2 linked regions of the Lytechinus pictus genome follow. The protein of the gene in region 2 purifies or fractionates together with the protein of the main gene of each other region. This does not show direct contact. Links are inferred from orthologs where the notes say so. Each region holds a gene or a part of one and is shown on either strand. Other genes may lie near its edges. The genes, in order: putative male-specific lethal-3 protein-like 2 and histone acetyltransferase KAT8-like.

Region 1 (11,174 bases), on a different chromosome or scaffold from region 2:
CATCATAGAAAATTTTTAGGGGGCCATTACGGTCCCCTGGGATTGTTAGGGTTAAAGGTCAAGTCCACCCCAGAAAAATGTTGATTTCAATCAGTAGAGAAAATTCAAACAAGTATAATGCTGAAAATTTCATCAAAATCAAATGTGAAAAAAGTTACATGTATGACACTTTAAAGTTTCGCTTATTTTTCACAAAACAGTAATACCAACCATCTCAGTGTTATGCAAATGAAAGAGTCGATGATGTTCCTCACTATTTATTTTGTTTTTTATTGTTTGAACAATACAATTTCAAGTTTTACAGATTTGATAATAATGACCTACTTGACTGACCCAAAAAAATGTTAAAAACAATGGTAGTTCCACATGTTCAGGGAGGAATAAAACTTTATTTCACATGACAATGAGAAAATAACGAAATACAAAATAAATAGTGAGTGAGTGATGTCATTAGTCCCCTTATTTGCATACCGACCAAGATATCTAATTGTTTTGCATAAATAAGCAAAACTTTAAAATGTCATAACTTTATCATTTTACATCCGATTTTAAAGAAATTTTCAGCATATACATGTATTTTTCTTGGGGTGGACTTGTCCTTTAAGGTTTGCTAGCTGACAATCTTATACTGAATTAAACTACTTTTCTTCATCTTTACGAAGCACAAAGTTTCACCTGCTTTTGTATGTACCTCAAGAATACAATGTCAATTTTTTCAGTCTATTTGTAAAGTATTTTATGCTTTTGCAACTCCTCCATTCATTCAAGTACTACTATTACACATTTGAGCTTATTTTAAATAGTGTTTCTTTCCCTGTCTAAAAAGTGAGCACAACACTCAGATGTTTGTTATAATGAGAATATTCTATAGATTGATGTGCACAATTGAACAAGAGGATTTCAAGGAACATGACAAAGTGGTGGAGAAAGGGGGATTAAGAAGGAAAGAGTGGTGTTGAAAAAGAGATTTAGTTAGAAGAAAATAATATACCACTTAAGAAATAAAAGAATTAAAAAAAATATTCATCTAAAATCACATCCATGACCATGCATATTTATAACACACAAGTCTATGAGGCGTTTTAAAACACGTTTTTTTTGTAAAAAAAACGGGTGTTTTAAAACGCGTTTTAAAACGTGTTTTAAAACACACCGTTTAAAACGTGCCAACCCTGCCCGTGCGCCTCTACTGTTAGTAGTACATGTCAGCCCCCAAAATGCTGAAATATGTGATTTAATTTTCAAAAGCGAAGAAATATGTAAGAAAATGTCTTTGATATCAGTTGTTTTTTTAAAAAATTTGTTAGAAATGCCATGAAGAATACGTACGGCAAAAATTAGCACTCTACAAGCTTTAATTACCAATACTGAATTAGAACAGAAAAAATGATTTTATGAATAAATTAGCATATAGGGCCTAATTATTTCATATAAAATGAAGTATATACATGTAAATATATATATTCAGTGGAGTTTAGCTCTACAATCAAGTAGTTGATGTCATATTTCTACAATCTTTTAAATTTTTGTTGCCATATGATCTTTTGCAGAGAAATGGGGGAGCATATTCATGCTAATTTATTCATGAGCAAGCCTTGAAATAAGCACATGTGAGCCGGGGGCAATTTTTTTTAAAATTGCCCCCGGCTCACGGGCTTTTTACAGGAACCGGGGGCAATTTAAAAAATATATATATAACGGTGAACCACACTGCAAATTTGTTTATAGTAAGCGCAGCTCCTGTAATTTTTTTATTAGTTCATGAAAAAAAAAAAAATAGCATGCTAAGTATTAGGCTTATTCAAACATTTAAGAAATCAGATTTAAATGTTTAAGTGTGTTTTGACACCCTCACTCCACATCCCCTTTACAACCACACACACATGGGCTTATTTATTTTTCATCTTTAATGAACCACGATCAATGAACCCCCCCAAAAAAAAAAATCTAAATAAATGAATTTAAAAAAATGTAAAAAAAGAGAGAGATGGAGAAAGAGAGAATTCAGATCAAATAATAAATTTAGAAAAAAAAAAAAAAATTAAAGGTTTTCTTCATGGTTAGAATCACGGGTGTGGGTGAGTGTTTGTGTGTGATTGTGACTGTGAGGTGCACTTGGATTGCATATAAATTATGTTAAAGAAATGAAGAAATTAAATCAATATCTACCGGGGTATTAACTCAGTCTATTCAAATTCCAGCACATAGCCACAGGCTATGTACATGTATTGAAGGTTCATGTACCTTAAGTTTTTCACAAGTTGTTTGAAAACGCAGATCTCCACAGAAAATGCCTTTCATTCTGGGAGAGTCTAAATTCGGTGAAAATGTATTCATTAATAACTTAAATATTCATCACAATAAAGAAATCAAAATTTTGACAGTTTTCAAAAATTAACATGAAATCTAAACTATCTGAAACGGAAAATCACCATCACTTAGGCCATTACTGATAGAATTCTCACCCAGAGCTCTGGCAGAGAACATGAGCTCAAACTAGCTAGCTAACACCACACTCAAGTGCACGGCATCCTCCTATTATTTTTTTTTAGATGGAGCCTTGTTTGATGATTTATTGTCTGATATTAACCCCTCTCCTAGAAAGAAATTAAAAAGCTACAATTCACAACTATAAGCTAAGTGATTTTGGATTATTAAGGCTCCGTTTTGACAAGCAAAGTCGGCGACTGTGAGGATAAAAGACTCGCACATCGTATGTGCTGTGAACAGGGATTTATCTCCTGTGCAATTCGAATTACTATATCGCAGAATTGTGATATCCCAACTGGAAATGTGTGCATTAGAAATTGCACATGGTGAAGTATGGAAAAACCGCTACCGGAAACACGCGCGCACATGTATTACAGAAAAAAAAAGACGGACGTAGCTCACTTTTTATGGTACAGAAAAAAAGACGCACTTGGCAATTTTAAACTGTGTCTATCGTAAATTGAAAGTTACTTGATTTTGGCTTTTCAGATATTTAAATTACAATCTTTAGGGACCCGTCCGGACTCAGTCCGTACTAGCAGGGAGAAGCTCTGGATGAGACGACTTCGCACCACCCAACCTCATGGCCTGAACATCCAAGAGGGGAACGACTGATTTTTCTTTCCTATCCACTTTCAATTTATATATACATATAATTTTTCCCCTCAGCTCTTTTGAATATATAGTTACATTATAGTTTCTTACTCTACTTTCCTCCCATATCTCACACAAGCTCAGCTCCAATTTTTCCTTCCTTATTCAGGCGATATAATAATTATTATATATATATATATATATATTTGTTTTTTCTCCACTCACCTCTTTTAGATTTACCACATTTGCTTATTTACATGTATACTATGGTTTCTTCATAATACACCCCCTCTCTTCTATATTTGCTTTTACCTTTTTAGGCAATTTGCTTCCTCTTTTTCACATATACAGGTCCTTTTTTTTTTTCTTTTTTTTTTCCCTACTATATAGTCTTATGTTTTTTTTCCCGTCACACCTAGCGGATTACAATATCAGTTACACCATATGTGTATTTATATATTTTTTCATATAGATTTCTTTTTTGGATATATTTATATACATATCACTTATAGATACATATTTACACTTACCTTCTTCTCTTAGTTTGTTTAATGCTTTATCATATATACTTATATGTCTTTTGCACATTATCAGTTGTTCCCCATTCTTTTTCTTTTTTTCCCCCACTCTTATGCACCAGTTTATTAAGCCTTCCTTTGTAACCTGTTTGACCCACCTCTCACTAATTCTCTTGTTTTTCATCCCATTATCACTGTTTTGTTCCAGATCCTGTTTGATGTTGCCTGCCTCATTATTTTAATCCCTCTTGGCTTGAGGTCTTTTACTGGCCTTACTTACACTAACTTCCCTTTGTGTCTGCCTACTCCTTTTCTTTCATCCCCTTCACTAACCTGATTGGTCTTCTCTACTCACTAATGCCCCTTTTGTCTCCTTGTTTCTAGTGTTGCTGTAGCTTGTTTGTGGTCTATATTATGGTTGTTCCACTTTATATGTTTGTCATTTTGCCTCCGACGAAGATTCTGCTAGGATCGAAAGCTTAGGCCCCTTTTTGACTTTCTAATTTACTCCATTGGCTCTCTTTTATTAGATAAGCAGTTTTCAGCAGCTTCTTTTTGCCATTTAAATTACAAGTATGATATGGCTTCACTGCTCACTCACGGCGGGCGCAATTACCTGGAAAATATTTGCGCCCGGTCGTCAAAATTTTGATGATTTTGGGGCTTTATGGGCGCAATTGATGGCTTTATGAGCGCGAATTTGCGCTCAGCGCCCGCTAATTTCAAGTCTTGTTCATGAGATACATTTTTGGCTGCCAACACTCATTTGCATGTTGCACTGTACATGTACAATGTACCTCGTCGATGACTCCAGCAATGCTGAATGTGGATATGTTGTGTGTGCATGTGTCATGTGATCACGAGAGTGGCTGACTGATGCAAACAAAGTGGGGAGTTCAGGCTTTATGCATGAGGAGGGGAGATTCAGGCTTTATGCATGAGGAGGGGAGAGAGCCGGGGGGGGGGGGGGGGGGTCTTAGCAAAATATGAAATATGGTTTTGTGTATGTTGTGTGTACCTCGTTGTTACTATGTTATGCTTATGCTCTATTATTTTTTTTTCTAATGTTTCTTTGTTTTTTGATGATCACCTTCAATGTCAGGATTTTATATCGATAAACTTAATTTGAAAAATTTGAATTTGTATGACTGTGTATTACAAGCTGTGTAAGTTTGTTTGTTCAAAGGCTGCAGTAGAGGCGGGTCCACGGATATACCTGCATGAAGGGGGGGGGGAGTAAAAAAAACGGACCTCCTAAATTTTCTGTTGATAACCCTTTTTTTCCCATTGTCAATTTTTTCCCTGGGTCCCCCCTTGATGGCCCCCCCTAAAATTTTGGTTGATAACCCTTTTTTTTCTTCAGGTGGACCCCCCCAAAATATTTTGGGGGGGCTTGCCGCCAGCCTGCCACCAATAAAAGGGGGAGGGTACACGTGTAAAAGCAGCATTTTACATTAGATTTTCTTTTATAATGGCTCTCAAGGGGGTGGGTAGGATGTGCCCCCCCCCCCCTTTGGATCCTCCACTGGTCATGTACAGGGCATGCATTTAAATTGGGGGTGCCCGGGGGGGTGTAACTAACCTCTGGTGTCAAGGGGGCACAGCCAGCCCGTGCCCCCCCCCCCCTTGAGAGGCACAATTAAAATTTAAATGCTGTGAAAACTTAAGTGTGTGCCCCCCCCCCCCCCTTTGAAAGTGAGGACTTTTTTTTTTGCTTGTCAGATTTTTTCGTAGAAGAAATGTACTTCCTTTTTGGTTGAAAACATTTATTTTTTTGCTTGTCAAATTTTTCCTCGGGGAAAATGTGCCCCCCCCCCACCCTTGGAAAATCCTAGATCCACCCCTGGTGTCAATACTATGTTTGAAAAGAGATATACCCCTTCCATCCCTGATGTAACCCATTTGCTGCCAAGGAGGGGGCTGACATACCCCCTTTGTCTCCTTTGGCTTCACACCTGATGATTGCACATGACCGGCGCCGTGACCACTGCACTTATGGGCAGCCAAAACGGTCAAAATTAATAATCTCAAAAATAAAGAAACTCTCAGAAGTATAACATTCAGAAATGAATACATTACTTTGGACAACTAGTAAATACGTCAAAAATAAAGAGGCTGCATTTATTTATGAAAGACTGAGATACTACATTTATTTCTGAGAGTTTCTTAATTTTTGAGATTGTTAATTTTGGCCCTTTTGGCTGCCCATATGCACTAGCTAGCGACACACAGTCACAGAGCTCGATCGCGATCCGCTCGGTCTATTCATTTCAATTCACCTCATCACTGCACAAGTTCAATGCGACATTTGTTATTCATTAGAGGTACAAATTGTTATTTATATCAAACAACCATTTCAAACACTCTAGGCGACACCCCAATACTTACCCGTGTTAATAAACTGGGACTCCACTCACGCGCATTTGGGCCGCCCTAGCTTAGAACTAAGCAATATTATCTAGAAATTGTTAAAACTGTAGTCATAAAATATGTTCTATTAAATAAATGTTTAATCGGTACTCACCGGTTCTTTTGTTGCATTTTCAGACAAAAAAAAAAAAAAATTTATGTAATGATGCTAAAATGAAAGGAAATTATTAAAAGTAGACAGGTAGAAGAGCGTTTTACTTACATGTTATTGACACCATCTTGTCTCCTTTGTGATTGCATCCTCGCGATGCAACGCATCTATAGAGGGTGGCAAAATCATGAGCAGTGCCAACCTAGATTTTTTTTAATACTTGCACCGGCCGATAAATTTCATAAATCGTAAATTACTTGCATCGGCCGGTAAATGTAATATACAGTTCATGATATTTACCGGCCGATGCAAGTATTTTAAACTCAAATAACCTAAATTCAGACTGCAAGGGCAGTACTGAAAAGAAATGTAATTGAACTCAAGTCTAGACTAACAGAAATGTAAAACAGCTGAAGAAAAAAAGTTAAAGGAAATAAACAAGGTAAGAAAATGACGAAAATAAACCATCTTACATAGATTTTCTCCTTTAAAAAAGGAGATTTTCAAAAACAAATAACAAAAATATATATCAGCTTTTGCAAATCCAGATTTTGATCACTTTTAACACCAAACATTTACACAAAAATATTGAAATAAAAATAACATAGTCATGATATGGTTCAATATTTACATTACAATATAAAAAATACGCCAATAAATATGTAGGCCTACCATACTACATTTACATCAAATTATGGTGGCCTTAAAACTTTTACTTTTTTTTTAATTACTAGATACTGAAAGTAGATTGGACAAGAGATAGTGCAGGCAAGAGAGTTCCAGAGTACCTAGTTCACTTCAATGGCTGGAATCATAGGTAAGACTGCCATTCAAATGAATAATATATATTCTTTTGTGTGGGCACTTGGCAGTAATTTCTATCTATTCAGATTCTGGTATATATTTTCTAATATAAGAAACACAATCTTTTTTCAAGAAAAGTTCACCCCAACTAAAAGTTGATTTGAATAAAAAGAGAAAAATCCAACAAGCATTACAAAAAAATTTCATCGAAATCTTATGTAAAATAGAAAGTTATGACATTTTAAAGTTTTGCTTAATTTCACAAAACAGTTTAGTACACGTATGCACATCCTTGTTGTTATGCAAATGAGGAGCCTGATGACGTCATCCACTCACTATTTCTTTTGTATTTTATTATATGAAATATTCTTATCTCATTGTCAAGTGGAACAAAGATTGATTCCTCCTGATCATGTGGAATTAGCATTGTTCTACATGTATATAGTATGGTTGTCATGTTGATCCTTTTTTCAAATCTGTAAATAATGAAATATTGTATTATTGTATTATTCAAAGTCAGTGCGTCATAGTCTACCTATTATATGGAATTCCCTCCCAAGTAATTGTATTGAATGTAAAACGTTATTGCAGTATAAGAGGGCATTGAAAAAAATATCTCTTCACATTTGAGTATTGTTACATTGTTTACCATTTATCAATTTACATTAATATATACCTAACTTTACCTTGGCATCTAATTCCTCTGATAGCTAATGGATGTGTCGTGTGGGGTGAGTGTGTTTTGTGTGATATGGTGTGGATGTAGATAATACCCATGTAAGACTATTTCGATATGTTTTTTAAAGGGGGGGTGGGGTATACCAAATTGAAGATTCTAATACATGTATGCCTGTAACGCAATGTAGTACATGTACATGTATTTGAGGGAACTTTTACCCACAAAGCCTTAAAGGCCTTTCTTTAAGTTCTCTTATTTCATTTCATATTTTCATGTATTTATTGGCATATTATGTGATAATCGTGTATGTTATACTTTGTAAATATCTTTTTATCGAAATGAAATAAATGGATTCAATCAATCAATCAAAACAAAAGAAATAGTGAGTGAAGGACATCATAGACTATCTCATTTGCAGGTCATTGAGTTGTGCATATAATTATAACTGTTTTGTGAAAAATAAGATAAACTTTAAAATGTCATAACTTTCATATTTTACATCCGATTTTGATGAAAATTTACAGCATAAGGCTAGTTTCATGTTTCTCTATTTACATTTGAATTTCAAATCAACATTTTTGCTGGGGTGGACTTGACCTTTAAGGGTTCCATGATACCAATTTTCTGTGCTCTAATCTGACTAATGGTTCATCTGTGGCCTGCTTTCCATTATCAGGCCAAATCATGGAAATGCCTATTTCTCATAATTGTACTATGTGGGGTTTTCTGAAATGTATTGAAACTTGAAAATGAATATGAATTATTTTAGATTAACCAAACATCGATACAGGCTTGATGTTGAAAAAAAAAAATAATAATAATAATAATAATAATAATGATAAAAACAAAAATCAACATTTGACTATAAAGGTGCTACATGTACATGAAGTCCTTCAGTACAGGCTTGATTTGGGCATTTTATGACAAAAAAACGTAAAGGACAAGTCCACCCCAACAAAAAGTGGATTTGAATAAAAGGAGAAAAATCCATCAAGTACAACACTGAAAATTTCATCAAAATCGGATGTAAAATAAGAAAGTTATGACATTTTTAAGTTTCGCTTAATTTCACAAAATAGTTTTATTCACATCCTGGTCGGTATGCAAATGAGTGAACTGATGACATCACTATTTCTTTTGTATTTTATTATATGAAATATGAAATATTCTAATTTTCTCCTCATTGTCCTGTGAAACACACTTTTATTTTGCCCTGAACGTGTGGAATTACCATTGTTAAACATTTTATGTTTCACAGTCAAGTTTGTCTTTATTGTCAAATCTGTAAAAATTGAAATATTGTATAATTCAAACAATAAAAAACAAAAGAAATAGTGAGTGAAGGACATCATAGACTCTCTCATTTGCAGGTTATTGAGTTGTGCATATAACTGTTTAGTGAAAAATAAGATAAACTTTAAAATGTCATAACTTTCATATTTTACATCCGATTTTGATGAAATTTAAAGCAATAGGCTAGTTTGATTTTTCTCTATTTACATTTGAATTTCAAATCAATATTTTTGCTGGGGTAGACTTGACCTTTAAGGGTTCCATGATACCAGTTTTACGTGCTCTAATCTGACTAATGGTTCATCTATGGCCTGCTTTCCATTATCAGGCCAAAGCATGGAAATGCCCATTTCTCGCAATTGTGCTATGTGGGGTTTTCTGAAATGTATTGAAACTTGAAAATGAATATGAATTCTTTTTGATTAATCGATACAGGCTTGATGATGAAATTTTTATAACCCCCCTCCCCCCCCCCAAAAAAGATAATAATTTAGAAAATAAATAAAAACAAAACAAAAATCAACATTTGACTAAAAAAAAGATGCTACTTGTACGTAAAGTCCTTCAGTACAGGCTTGATTTTAGCATTTTTATGACAAAAAACCTTTAACATTTATTGAAATCCATTAACTTTATAAAGATCCGATCCACTACAGTCTCCTGTTCCAGACTACTGATTCACACACCCAGCCTGGGGCAATTCCTTTCTTTTCTTCAATCATCTATTCATCCTTTTCTCCTCCTTGTCTTTGTCGTTACTGACTGTATGATTTTTTTTTCAAGTTTTCATGGTGATTCCAACATTATGGGTATCAAAATCGAGTACCATGTTAATAATTACTGTTTAAATGGAAAGCTTACAGCTGTCATGCCATAGGTGTTCAATTAGTGTCTGTATCAGTAGACTACCACTTTAGAGGTAGCCTGGTACTGTTTGCTAGTCAGCTGGTTGTCTATTGTTAGGGAGCTACGGTGAAGGTCACCAAGGTCATCAGTCGTCCGTATTGGCGGGGGTTTTCAATTCATTACAATACAATGCAGAAAACAAATGATTTTATGGATGTCTCTGTTTATCAATACTGGAAAGGCAGTATAGATTTGAGGATTATCTTTATGTTTGCTCTTGAGGGCCTTGGCCCAGTGGTAAGTTGAATCAAGGAGAATCGTAGCAATCATAGCATACAAATTGTCAAGAAACAGTGTAACTTACATGTAGATCTACAGTATGTTATACTGTGCATGTTTGGCAAGCTTCCGGAAACGTACTGAATGATGGGGCATAACACAGACCTGTCTTGGTGAATTCTGTAGGTTAAAGGTCAATATCTGGACAAGCAAGCTTCCACATGTTTTGTTTATCTGCTTGCTCGAGTTTGCACTTCATTTTTTAGATTTTATTGTCCTGAAACTTGTGAGAGCCCACTTTATTCTCCATCTCATTGTACATGTCCATCCGTACTCCTCACAACAAATGTTTGTTCAGTTTGGAATGCAGTTTTCAAATAGAACATGGTGTATTGAATTCTATTGGAAACAGGCTGTTTTATGGAATATTCTTGATCATGATATTTAGCTGAAACAAAACTTATTCGGCAGTCTGTTCAGACACATGAACAAGGAGTGTAGGAACTTGTCTAATCTGCCAGTAAAACTATTCAAAAGTTCCAACTTAACAGGAAATAACTTTTTCTGATTTCACATTGCAAAGATTGCTACATAAAAAGTCTTGTGTAATATACAATACAGGCCACAAATGCTCTTCAAATTTTGAACGCAAAACTGTTCCGTGTGTATGATTCACAAAATTCATTCAGTACTGTGTAATAATGATGATATAGACAGCCTACACTGACATTAATAATGATCTTCCACATATTGATGTTTACAGTTGTGTCGGTCAATGGAGGTGTACACCTGGGGGGCGTTTCATCAACATTTTTGTCCGACAAGTTGTCTGATCTGACATCTTTCCTTGATTCTGATTGGCTGAGAAGCACTGTAACTATGGTAACTGTCGGATAAAATGGGACTTGTCGGATAAAACGTCTGACATGTCCTTTCATGAAATGCTCCCCTGCTTTGATTTTTTTATACTTCCTTTTTCGTTTTTTTTTTAAAGATAAATTTATGTTAATTAAACAATTTTTTTGTAAAGCCCATTTACATGTAAGTTTGACACTTGGTGTTAAGTTCACAGTGCATAAATAAACAACCTAAATACTAAGTTAATACCCATGTAGATGTTTTGTATTATTTATATCATTACTATTTTCAT
Region 2 (10,466 bases):
ACAATTTAGAGGAAATACAATCAAGAAAATTTCACACTTGCTATTCCATATATTATAAAAATTATGAATATTATTTTATATTTACCAACTGTTTTCTTGGCATAGCACTTGCCGCATACCCCTCCATGAAAAACTATTATTTTCGTGCGTGACAAATTACATGTACATCATGATTCCAGATGCGCGCCGGACGTGTAAAGATATTCTTGACAAATTGATTATGATTTAAAATAGGAAGAATTTGTGTGATTTTTTCTCATATATCATATCATGGGTAAATTTTAAGTTTTTGTTTGCTTTTTATATCGAATCTGAGCAGATGTTGGTAATAAATTTGTGTTTGCTAACTAATTTTATTTTTTCCTTTTGAACTCCATGCTCCATGACACTTTCCAATATTATGCTCGTTAGTATTGTGATGCTCATCAAGTTGATGCGCTGTCAATCGTCAACGGCTCCAATCACGGTAAACCTCGCACACGGGTACCTTGAGAACTAGCTGTCGACGATCACCCACAATACACCACACCTCAACATTCGATCAAGGAGCGGAGAAGATTGAAATTCTGCAAATCAGGCCCATATTTCCGTTAGAAAATATCTCAATTGTTAATGCAAAACTATTTTCTGTCATTTTTAGAGATAATCAAAGGTAAAAGGTGGATTTTTGCGCCTTGCTTCTGCAATCTTGTTCTATGTATTCAGTACAGGCGCTGGTCAGAAAATTGGGATTGTCCCAGTTTACAGGGACTGTCTCAGTTTTCAAAGATTTCTCCACACAAGAAATCAAGTTCATTCCCTGCGCTAGTCAAATGTAAACATATCAGGTTTCATAACTAAGATTATTAAAAGACGGCAAGTTGTGAAAAATAGACAGTGAACTGGGGGGAATTGAGGTCACTAAATCTATTTCTAGCACTCTCAATCCCTATAATTGCTGTCTTTGTCCCGCAGGGGTAAGTGAAAAAAAACTGTCACCATATTACATAAACAAGAACAATCTCAATTTATCAAGACATGATTTGTCCTGCTTTATGAGGATATCCTTGTTTTCTGGGGCAATCCCAATTTTTGAACTAGCGCCTCTACCGGTATTGCTCTGTGTAATTGAACTGCGGAAGTCTAATGGTACGAAATTGTTTTCGTACGCAGTAACAATATGCGCGTCCGGAATCTAGTGTCCGGTAACAATAGTAATACGTGACTAGGGTCTATACACCCCCCCCCCCTCCCAGAAGAAATTTAGTAAATATGAATAGAATAGGACTTGAATTGAGTATATACGTTAGTTGTACTAATTTTCTGCAAAAAGCCAAAAATCTCGTCAAAATTGATATAATTCTCGAAAAAGTTAGGCCTAGACTCTAGATACACCATCCACGCAAGCAAACTCAACAATAGACCTTATCGCAAATAGATTCACGCAAAGGATCATGGGATCGAAAAGGGAGCAATAGCGCCACTATTGTCCGGATGCGACCATGCGAATGCAAGCAGCCGACAATAAAGTGTACGATTTCCATAGTGAATCAAAATATGATCGACGCCCGCAGCCAACATTTGCTAACTTCCAGTAAACGCCCCGTCACATTTGTTCCAGAGTCTAATATCACTTTTCTTCTTAATTATGGGTGGCAGATATAAATTTGCTATCTATAGTTGCAAGAATTACCACAGGTTTTATGCAAACAAGTGCAATTTTGTTTCATTTTCGCGCACTGTCTGTGCATTTTCTGAGCTGTGCAGCTGTGACTGTGCAAAGTGTGCTTGTATGGACTGCGGGCACTCTCAGCCCAGGGACAGAGTACGACGGCGAGGCAGTGGAGGAAATTAAACTGGTCCCGGAATTCCCAAGAAATTAATAAAATGATGATCAATGAAACAAACTCTGCAGTAGATTTGATTGCTTTATTCTACTTAAAATATTTTAGTAATATATCAATCGATTGTCAAGAATACATGTTTCATAAATAATTATCTCAATCATGATTTTATTCAGATATTAACCGAGCAGTGTTTTCTTTTTCTCTCCAGACACATAATTATTGCATGTAATTCAGGATCATGGCCGGACATTCTGAAGTTTTATTAGTGGCCTGGTCCCAAGATTTTATAATACTGCAAAGACAAAATAATGAATTAAATATAAAAAAATGTGAGAATAGATGAAAGTATGAGAGAAAAATAAGTTAGAAAAAATGAAATGAGGAAGGTACGTGATCTGTGAGAGATGTAATTAGTAACAGAATGAGATGAAATTAAAGGAGAATGAAACCCTTGAAACCAGCTGAATCCATATCAAAGAGAAAAATCAAAGAAACATATTGTTGAAAGTTTGAGGAAGATTGAATGAATAATAAGAAAGTTATGAGCATTCGAATATTGAGATCACTAGTGCCATGTAGATCCTCCCAACGGCAATGCGACCAAGATCTGTGATATCACACACGTACAACTCCCTCATTACTTTAGTACTTATTTCACTTATATTCTCACTTTTATAGAGTCTATCACAAGGTGAGGTGTTCTCTTTATGAGATGACAAGTACAGAGGTTTCACAACATTATATCATTGATGAATCGTTTGTCATATGATTAGAATGAGCAAAAAGATATGTTTTGGGGTATATTTTCAGTGTCCAAATGGGAGAGTTGTACGTGTGTGACATCACAGATCTTGGTCGCATTGCCAATGGGAGGATCTCCATAGCATTAGTGATCTCGACATTCAAATGCTCATAACTCTTTTATTGCTAGTCCTATTTTACTCAAAGTTTTGTTGATCTTATTCTTTGATTTTTCTGCTTTCACAAAAGCTAACTTGCTTCAAGAGTTTCATTCTCCTTTAATTGAAGATGCAAATTTTTACATATTTGTTTTATTAAAACAATGGAATATATAAATATGAATTAAATATCCATCAGCGGCTTAATTTTCAGACAAAATAAAATTACAGAGAGGTGAGAAATTCATGGATCACTCAGCATGCTTTTGTGTCTCAATATGCACTGCCACTTTTATAGTCTCAGTCACTCTCCGACTCTGAAGTCTGGCTCAGCCTCATCCTCAGGGAACCGTTTCATATAACTTGTTACAATAACAAATTTACCATTGCCCTGCCATTAAATGTTAACAAAAAATCTGATGCTATAGCGATGTGTGTACATAGTGTAAGCTACCTTCGTACGCCGTCGTGTCTACCCCGGCACGCGAGACGAATCGAGAGTGCAGTCAGCGCACAGCTAGTAGTACGTGATACGATGTCGATGGATCGATATCATGATGAAGCCCATATCTCGTGAAACGTACAAGTGTAAGCAGAGATGCCGAGTCATGAAAATCTCACGCATAACATTTTTTTGAACTTGGCATCTCTGTTAATCTGATTGGCTGTAAATTTGTACTTATAGAAATTATGCATACCGTATGGGCACTAGTATTCAACCCGGCATAATTCAAAGATTTGGACAAATTCCCCCAAATATTTAGAAATTGGGAATTTATCTTATTTGTCATACCTTTGAATTTGACTTTGTTATTTCCAGTGTAATCTGTTGTCGGTATTTTCTTTATCAATCTGTCGACTGTATGCGCGGAGGATCGAATTATGCGGCGGTGACCTTTTGCACTGAAATGCACTAACTATATATTCAACCTAGTGATGATAGATGGCTAATTTCAAAATGGTTTAGATTATTAGATCTAGATTTATGTAAGTCTCTGGCTTTGATTAATTCCGTTTGGTCTCATCTCAATTGGTCTAGTCCATAGTCGGATGGGACAAGGGCAGATTGAAAGACAGGGCCATCTTTTATCGCTAGGTTGAATACTAGTGCTAGCCAGGCGGCTTCTAGAGAGTAAAAATCATTTACTAACGTCAGGTTACTCTCATACGAAGCCAGGACTTCTACATCATAGACCCACACAAAGGAAGCCAAACCTGGCTGAAACTTTCACCCCCGAGATTTCTATTTTCCTTCTAAAAGATCTAGCTCTAAATCATGTACATGGGATAAAAATTAAAACTTAATTTCCGACATTTCTACGCTCTCGTTGTTATTTTTAAAACAAGAATTCATCAAAAAATGAAAAAAATATTGTGAAAAGACGGAAGAGACTTGCCCGATGTTTACGCCGCCATCTTGTTTCTTATTGTACTTCCCCAACGTTACGGACGCGAGCGTCGCGTAACGTTGGTGAAGTGCAATAAGATAACATCGGGCAAGTCTCTTCCGTCTATTCATGATATTTTTCTCATTTTTTTTTGATGAATTCTTCTTCAAAAATAACAACGAGAGCGTAGAAATGTCGGAAATGAAGTTTTATCCCATGTAGGCCCTACATGATTTAGAGCTAGATGATAGATCTTTTAGAAGGAAAGTAGAAATCTTGGGGGTGAAAGTTTCAGGTTTTGGCTTCCTTTGTGTGGGTCTATGTATGAGGTAGAAGTCTTGGCTTCGTATGAGAGTAACCTTACGTTAGTAAATGATTTTTACTCTCGAGAAGCCGCCTGGCTAACTAGTGCCAAAAACCATCGCCGTATAATTCGATCACCCGCGCACACAGTCGACGGGTTGAAGAAAAAAATAACTGAAATTTGAAAAGAACATGAAGAATAACCAGCATTTGCTCTTGAAAATAAGACGGGTCTGAAATTCAGGTTAATTCTATATTTCTATACATTTGAGGAAACTCTCCAAACGGGTTGAATACTAGTGCCCTTACGGTATGTTATCATGATAACAAGTCTTTATGAAACGGGACCCTGTCCCTGGTCTCACTCGGTTGACCACAAAACAACGCCAGAGAGTTCGGGCGAGGCGGGACACGAATTCATTCTCCGCACCGCAATGCTAGGGCTAGGACGGGCTTTGTTTACTCAACGATTCATACTTACGCCACGTGTTGTCGTGTCGCTTTATCAAGAAAGTATCGCCGATTTTCAAGGAATTTTCGTCATTTTCGTTTTCAGAATCGTTGGTGCTTCCATTCTGTGTCGATGTCGTTTTAGAATCAGAGTCTTTCAATGATGAATTCATGTTGTTTCCTTTGATTAAGATGAGGAACTCTTCGCTTTTATGTCACAGGTTGGTGGTCCGACTGGTTCCCGCATCACATATCGTCGATAGACACGTACGCGCGCACGCACCAATATAAAATGCGCGCGCGAAATTACATCACCGGTACGTGCATGCCACACACGATCCGAACACATTGACTACCGAATAAAAATATATTTTTAAAGGTTTGATGAAAAAAGATAGTTTTCATTTAAATTCATTTTTAACATGTACCGGTACTTCCCTTGTGCTCTTCTGTATTTTGCCAAGCCCTCTCCCAAGTCTCTCATTCGTAATAGGTCCATGCTCATACATACCCCCACTATATCTCGGGAGATAAACCTCCTATAACACTCACCCTCTGGGGGGCGTTTCATGAAAGGACTTAATTGTCGGACGTTTTATCTGACAAGTCCCATTTTATCCGACAGTTACCATAGTAACAGTGCTTCTTAGCCAATCAACATCAGAGAAAGATGTCAGATCTGACAACTTGTTGGACAAAAATGTTGATGAAGGTTAGCGATAAATCATTAAATGAATGGCCCATTAAAGTTGCATCGCATTTATGCTCAGTAGACTAAGAACCAATCATAATTGCTCTTTTAAATTAGTGATCGCTTCCTAACCTTTGTATGACAGGGCCCTGGATATCTCCATCTCTCATACCCCACCCGGCCATCTCTCTCTCGAGCAAACTGCCATACATCTATTGCCAACTCGTCCACTAATCACATGGTCTACCTTCATTTAGTCTAATGCCATTCCGTCCACCAACATTTTGTCTAACCACCATCTGGTCCAATAATCACTTTGTCTAATCACCAGTTCGTCTATAACCATTTCGTCTAATAACAAGTTGGTCTCATACCCACTTTCTTTTCATTCATTTTGCCTTATTAACACTTATCCAATTAGACCAAATGGTTTATGGACGATCTGCATGGCTATTGGACCAACTGGTTATCAGATGAAATGGTGAGTGGACGAAGTGGCAATTAGACCATGTGGATAGTGGACAAATTGATGATAGACCCAATGATAGTAGACAAATTGGTAATTAGGCGAATTGGCAGTAGACCAAATGGAAATAAACCGAGCAAACTCCCCTATCCATTTATTTCCACCTTTTGTCCTTTCCTTCTCTCTACCCCCATCCCCTTCCTCTATTACCAATCTAAACAGTTTCTATTGCCCCGTGCTCGCCGCACAGAAACGTTGTTAGCCTAACAGAGCGCCAACAGTAAGCCCAGTCACATCTTTCGGATTGGGATTGTGAAGGCAAAACATTTCAATGTGTAAGTAATGCAATGATGTAACATTAGGCATTGCTGCCACATTTAATACCGGTTGTAACAGGACACTCTGTCAACGTTTCAGTGCGGTCAGTACACGTTTTCAGAGCATTCTTTAGGATTTGTTTTATGCATTCATTAACAATGGGGAGGGAAGGGGAAGGTATAATGAAAATCACTTATTTAGTTAAAGGGGTATCCAGGCTTAAAATATGGTTTGAACAGATAAGGAAAAAATCAAACAAAACAATGAAAAGATTTACATTGTGAAACAGTGCTATGCATGTCTTCATGAATATTCAATGAGCAATCTGATGGCATATCCCCACTTGTTTTTTTTTTTTAAGGTAAAGTCCACCCCAGGAAAATGCCAGCCAGGATGTGCATATAACTGTTTTGTGAAATTAAGTGACACTTTAAAATGTCATAACTTTATTTTATATCCGATTTTGATGAAATTTTCAGTGTTATGCTTGTTGGATTTTTCTCTTTTAATTCAAATCAACTTTTTGTTGGGGTGGACTTGTCCTTTAATATTTTATTACATGAAATTATGGTCTTTTTTTTCCTCCAAGAATAAAAAAAATGAATTGACAACCGATTAAATATTTATTGTTGCAACATATTTCATTTTAAAGAAGACATATCATTCAAACATGAAATTACGATTTCATGTAACATAAGAAAAAGGAAACTGAAAGTTAAGGATGTGACATCAGCCAACCTAATGAATATTCATGACATGAACACATGACACGACTGCTTTCACAAAATATAACCTTGTTTTTTTAATCAGATATTGATGAAATTTTCACCATTTTGCTAGGTTAATTTTACTCTATTTATTTAGATAATATAATTATCACCAGCCCATTTGTGCATACATGTATAACCTCTTACACTCATCCAAGTTAGATGGCAGTATGAACTCTGAAAACTTTCGATTTCTTGGCGACATGCTAACCAAAAATTAAAGGAATAAAATAATTGGAGGGTTCCGATACCTTAAAAAAAACCCCTCAAACAATAGGGTGTTTTCGCTTTTACTAGGGGGAAAATCTCTAGAATGCAGCAGATCCGAACATTTGCCACGGAAGAACAAATGCAAATACTGTATGTCATTGTCCAGAGTCGCATAGATTCTGATGCTATCGCGGTCTACAAACTTACGACATAAGCCTCTCAGCTCTATATTGTGATTCGACTTGCATTTTCAAAGGAATTGGTGCATTGGAGAGTTTCCTCCTAGGAAATGCGAAAAGTCCGGAACCCACAAATTGACTACATTGACTGCTCTGGCGTTCAAGAGGTTCATGCATGGAAGTGGGCTGTTCTGGACTCCATACCTCCTATGTGTAAAGCCTGACACTACAAAAAGCCCCCCAAACCAATATATTGACAAACAAATTCAGATGATTTTCCAGACAGAGTATGGTTTATTGTTTACTACCTGGGAGATAAAGAAAATACTGATTTTCTTCTAGTCGACAAAGACATTGTGCACACTAATACAAAAAATACAAATATCGTGTTTAAAACATTACAAGGGAACACAGCTACATGTTACTGTGAATATTCCATGATCAATTTCATACTGTAATTTTGGTTGAACCAAACTGACTTGCTGGGCGGTCAGATAAATTTCTAATCCAAATTATACAAATTAGAATCTCAAGAATAAACATGAACTGTTTAGGAATAAGTGACAAGAAAATGTTTCACACCGATTATCGTGGATGAATAAAAGCCCCATTGACAAATACATGTATGTAATTATTGGGACATACACTTGGCTTCACAGAAGACAAGACCCCCGCCCCCTTCTCCAATGCTACATTGAATTTCAAAGTATTCTAATTGTAACACATGAATATATTAAACATGAGAAAACACTGTATCAAAGCCTATTAAAAAAATCTCACTTGATGTTACAGAGCAGATGATATAGGTCTGTAATGGAGAAACGTTTTTTTTTTAACCATCACGTGAATTTAATCTTACTAAATGGCAAATAAGGATCTATTTTTAGGTGCCATATAAAACTTTTTTTTTTCACTTGAGCTATGGACAGATTACTTCATTCAGTGAAAGGTGAAATGGTTCATTCAACATGGCTATGCCTTGTTGAACGGATCCTCTTTCACCTCATGAAGTTGAAGTAGTCCGTCCATTGCACTCATAAACACTATTTGTGTATATTGAACATGTATTAATGTACAGTGCATACAATATAGGATGATCGCGACATATTATTGTCCATGATGTCCATCAGTCTAAGCATAGCCTAAAAAGAATATTGATGAATAATCCACAATCATAAGATCATTTACGTCTAGCGGCTGTTACCATGTACAAGTACTTCTATATAAACCTGATGATAAAAGTGAATTTTGAAAGTTTATACAGCATGTTCCACAAGTGACTCAACACATCTACACATTAAAAAGGAGAAAAGTAAAGATTTATCTTGTACAAAATTATTATATTTAACACCACATGCTTCTACACCTCTTATAATAATAACACAACTTAACAGGATTGTCTGATGATTGAAACCTGATGATTTACATCTGACCACAGTCTGTAATAGTGATCTTCTTACTGGTCTTGCCACTATCGCTACCATATCCCTCGATTGCCTTCACGACATCAAGACCTTCAACCACACTGCCAAAGACCACATGTTTTCCATCGAGCCTGAGAAGGGAATAAACCAATGATTATACTTTAGCCTGGGCTAGGGTATTTTAACCCTAATATCAAATATGATTTGTGATACTCTATTATCCTTATGTCCAAGTTTCATTAATTAGATCCATAACCTTTCAAAGTTAAAACATTTTTAACAAGTGGAGTGCCAGAGCTACGACTATTGAATACTCATTCACAAAAAAACACCATTCATATAACAAGACAGTATATTCATTTACCCTAAATGACCTTCATCATGCGACCTAAGACTCATGCAAAACAATAAGTGATACTTGATTACCCTTTCGTCTTTATTTAATGAACCAGATCCATAAACTTTTAAAGTTAATGATGGCAATTGAACAATACCCCCAACATGGCCAAAGTTAATTGACCTTAAATGACCTTTGACCTTGGTCATGTGACCTGAAACTCTCACCAGATGTTTAGTGATACTTGTTGCTCTTCTGTCCAAGTTTCATGACCTAGATCCATACACTTTCAGTTATGATGGCAATTCAACCATTACCCCCAACATGACCAAAGTTCGTTGACCCTAAATTACCTTTGACCTTGGTCATGTGACCCGAAACTCAGGCAGGACTTTCAGTGATACACCATTACCCTTATGTCCAAGTTTCATGAATTATATTCATAAACTTTCCAAGTTATGAAAAAATTTAAAAAAACTTAACCTTGGTTAAGATTTCGATGTTACATGGTCTAAGTCCATTGACCCCAAATGACCCACCTTGGTCATGTGACCTGAAAACTTGGGCAGGATGTTCAGTGATACTTAACTAACCTTATGTCCAAGCTTCATGTACGTTTCTAATATAGGACATTTCAAAAAAATTAACCTTATTTAAGATTTCATGTTGACTAGGCAGCCGTCGCCATCAGAAAAGCAGCACCTAGTCTCGCTCTGCTATGCAGGCCAGGAGACAAAAATACCCCAAATGTGATCAATTCACACTGCACATATTTTCCTTAACTTAACCTGAAAACGCCAAGGGGGGGGGGGCGGCGGATACTCCCCCCGACCCCCCCCCCCCCCGCCTTTTCAGGTTAAGTTAATAGAGCTATGTCAATCTGGTGCTGCACAGTAGCTGCCAAGTCCACGATAAATTGGGCAAAAATAATGTTTGTAATGATTCCATTTTAGATTTGTATTTTGAACAATATAGATTTTCATATTTTCATTAAAAAAAACCTTACCTTGGTTAAGATTTCAATGTTAATAATTTAACCAAAGACAACTCATGGACATGAACAGCCAAATTCAAAGAGTGCTTCAAAAATTGGATAGTAATTTGAACTGCACCATCAATACTGAAATGTTACCCAAGCCTAGCCTATAATCTAGGCGGAGAATGCAGCTATGTTTTTGCTGTTACTCAACTGCAGACAGAATTAAGAA

Evidence for each region.
Region 1: the proteins of histone acetyltransferase KAT8-like (region 2) and putative male-specific lethal-3 protein-like 2 purify together in Homo sapiens (affinity purification with mass spectrometry; 4 studies listed by BioGRID and IntAct, with this or other methods). This does not show direct contact. The link is inferred for Lytechinus pictus from reciprocal best matches to the Homo sapiens genes KAT8 and MSL3.

Annotation. Positions count from the first base shown.
Region 1 is NC_087256.1:929,529-940,702, forward strand, and holds the start of putative male-specific lethal-3 protein-like 2, read left to right. Parts: upstream 1-6,848; 5' UTR 6,849-6,940; intron 6,941-9,862; exon of another isoform or gene 9,863-10,042; intron 10,043-11,174. UniProt on the Homo sapiens protein: Non-catalytic component of the MSL histone acetyltransferase complex, a multiprotein complex that mediates the majority of histone H4 acetylation at 'Lys-16' (H4K16ac), an epigenetic mark that prevents chromatin compaction.
Region 2 is NC_087262.1:19,535,122-19,545,587, reverse strand, and holds the start of histone acetyltransferase KAT8-like, read right to left. Parts: upstream 5,150-10,466; 5' UTR 5,040-5,149; coding exon 4,898-5,039; intron 1-4,897. Other genes in the region: peptidyl-prolyl cis-trans isomerase-like, read right to left, coding at 8,920-9,052.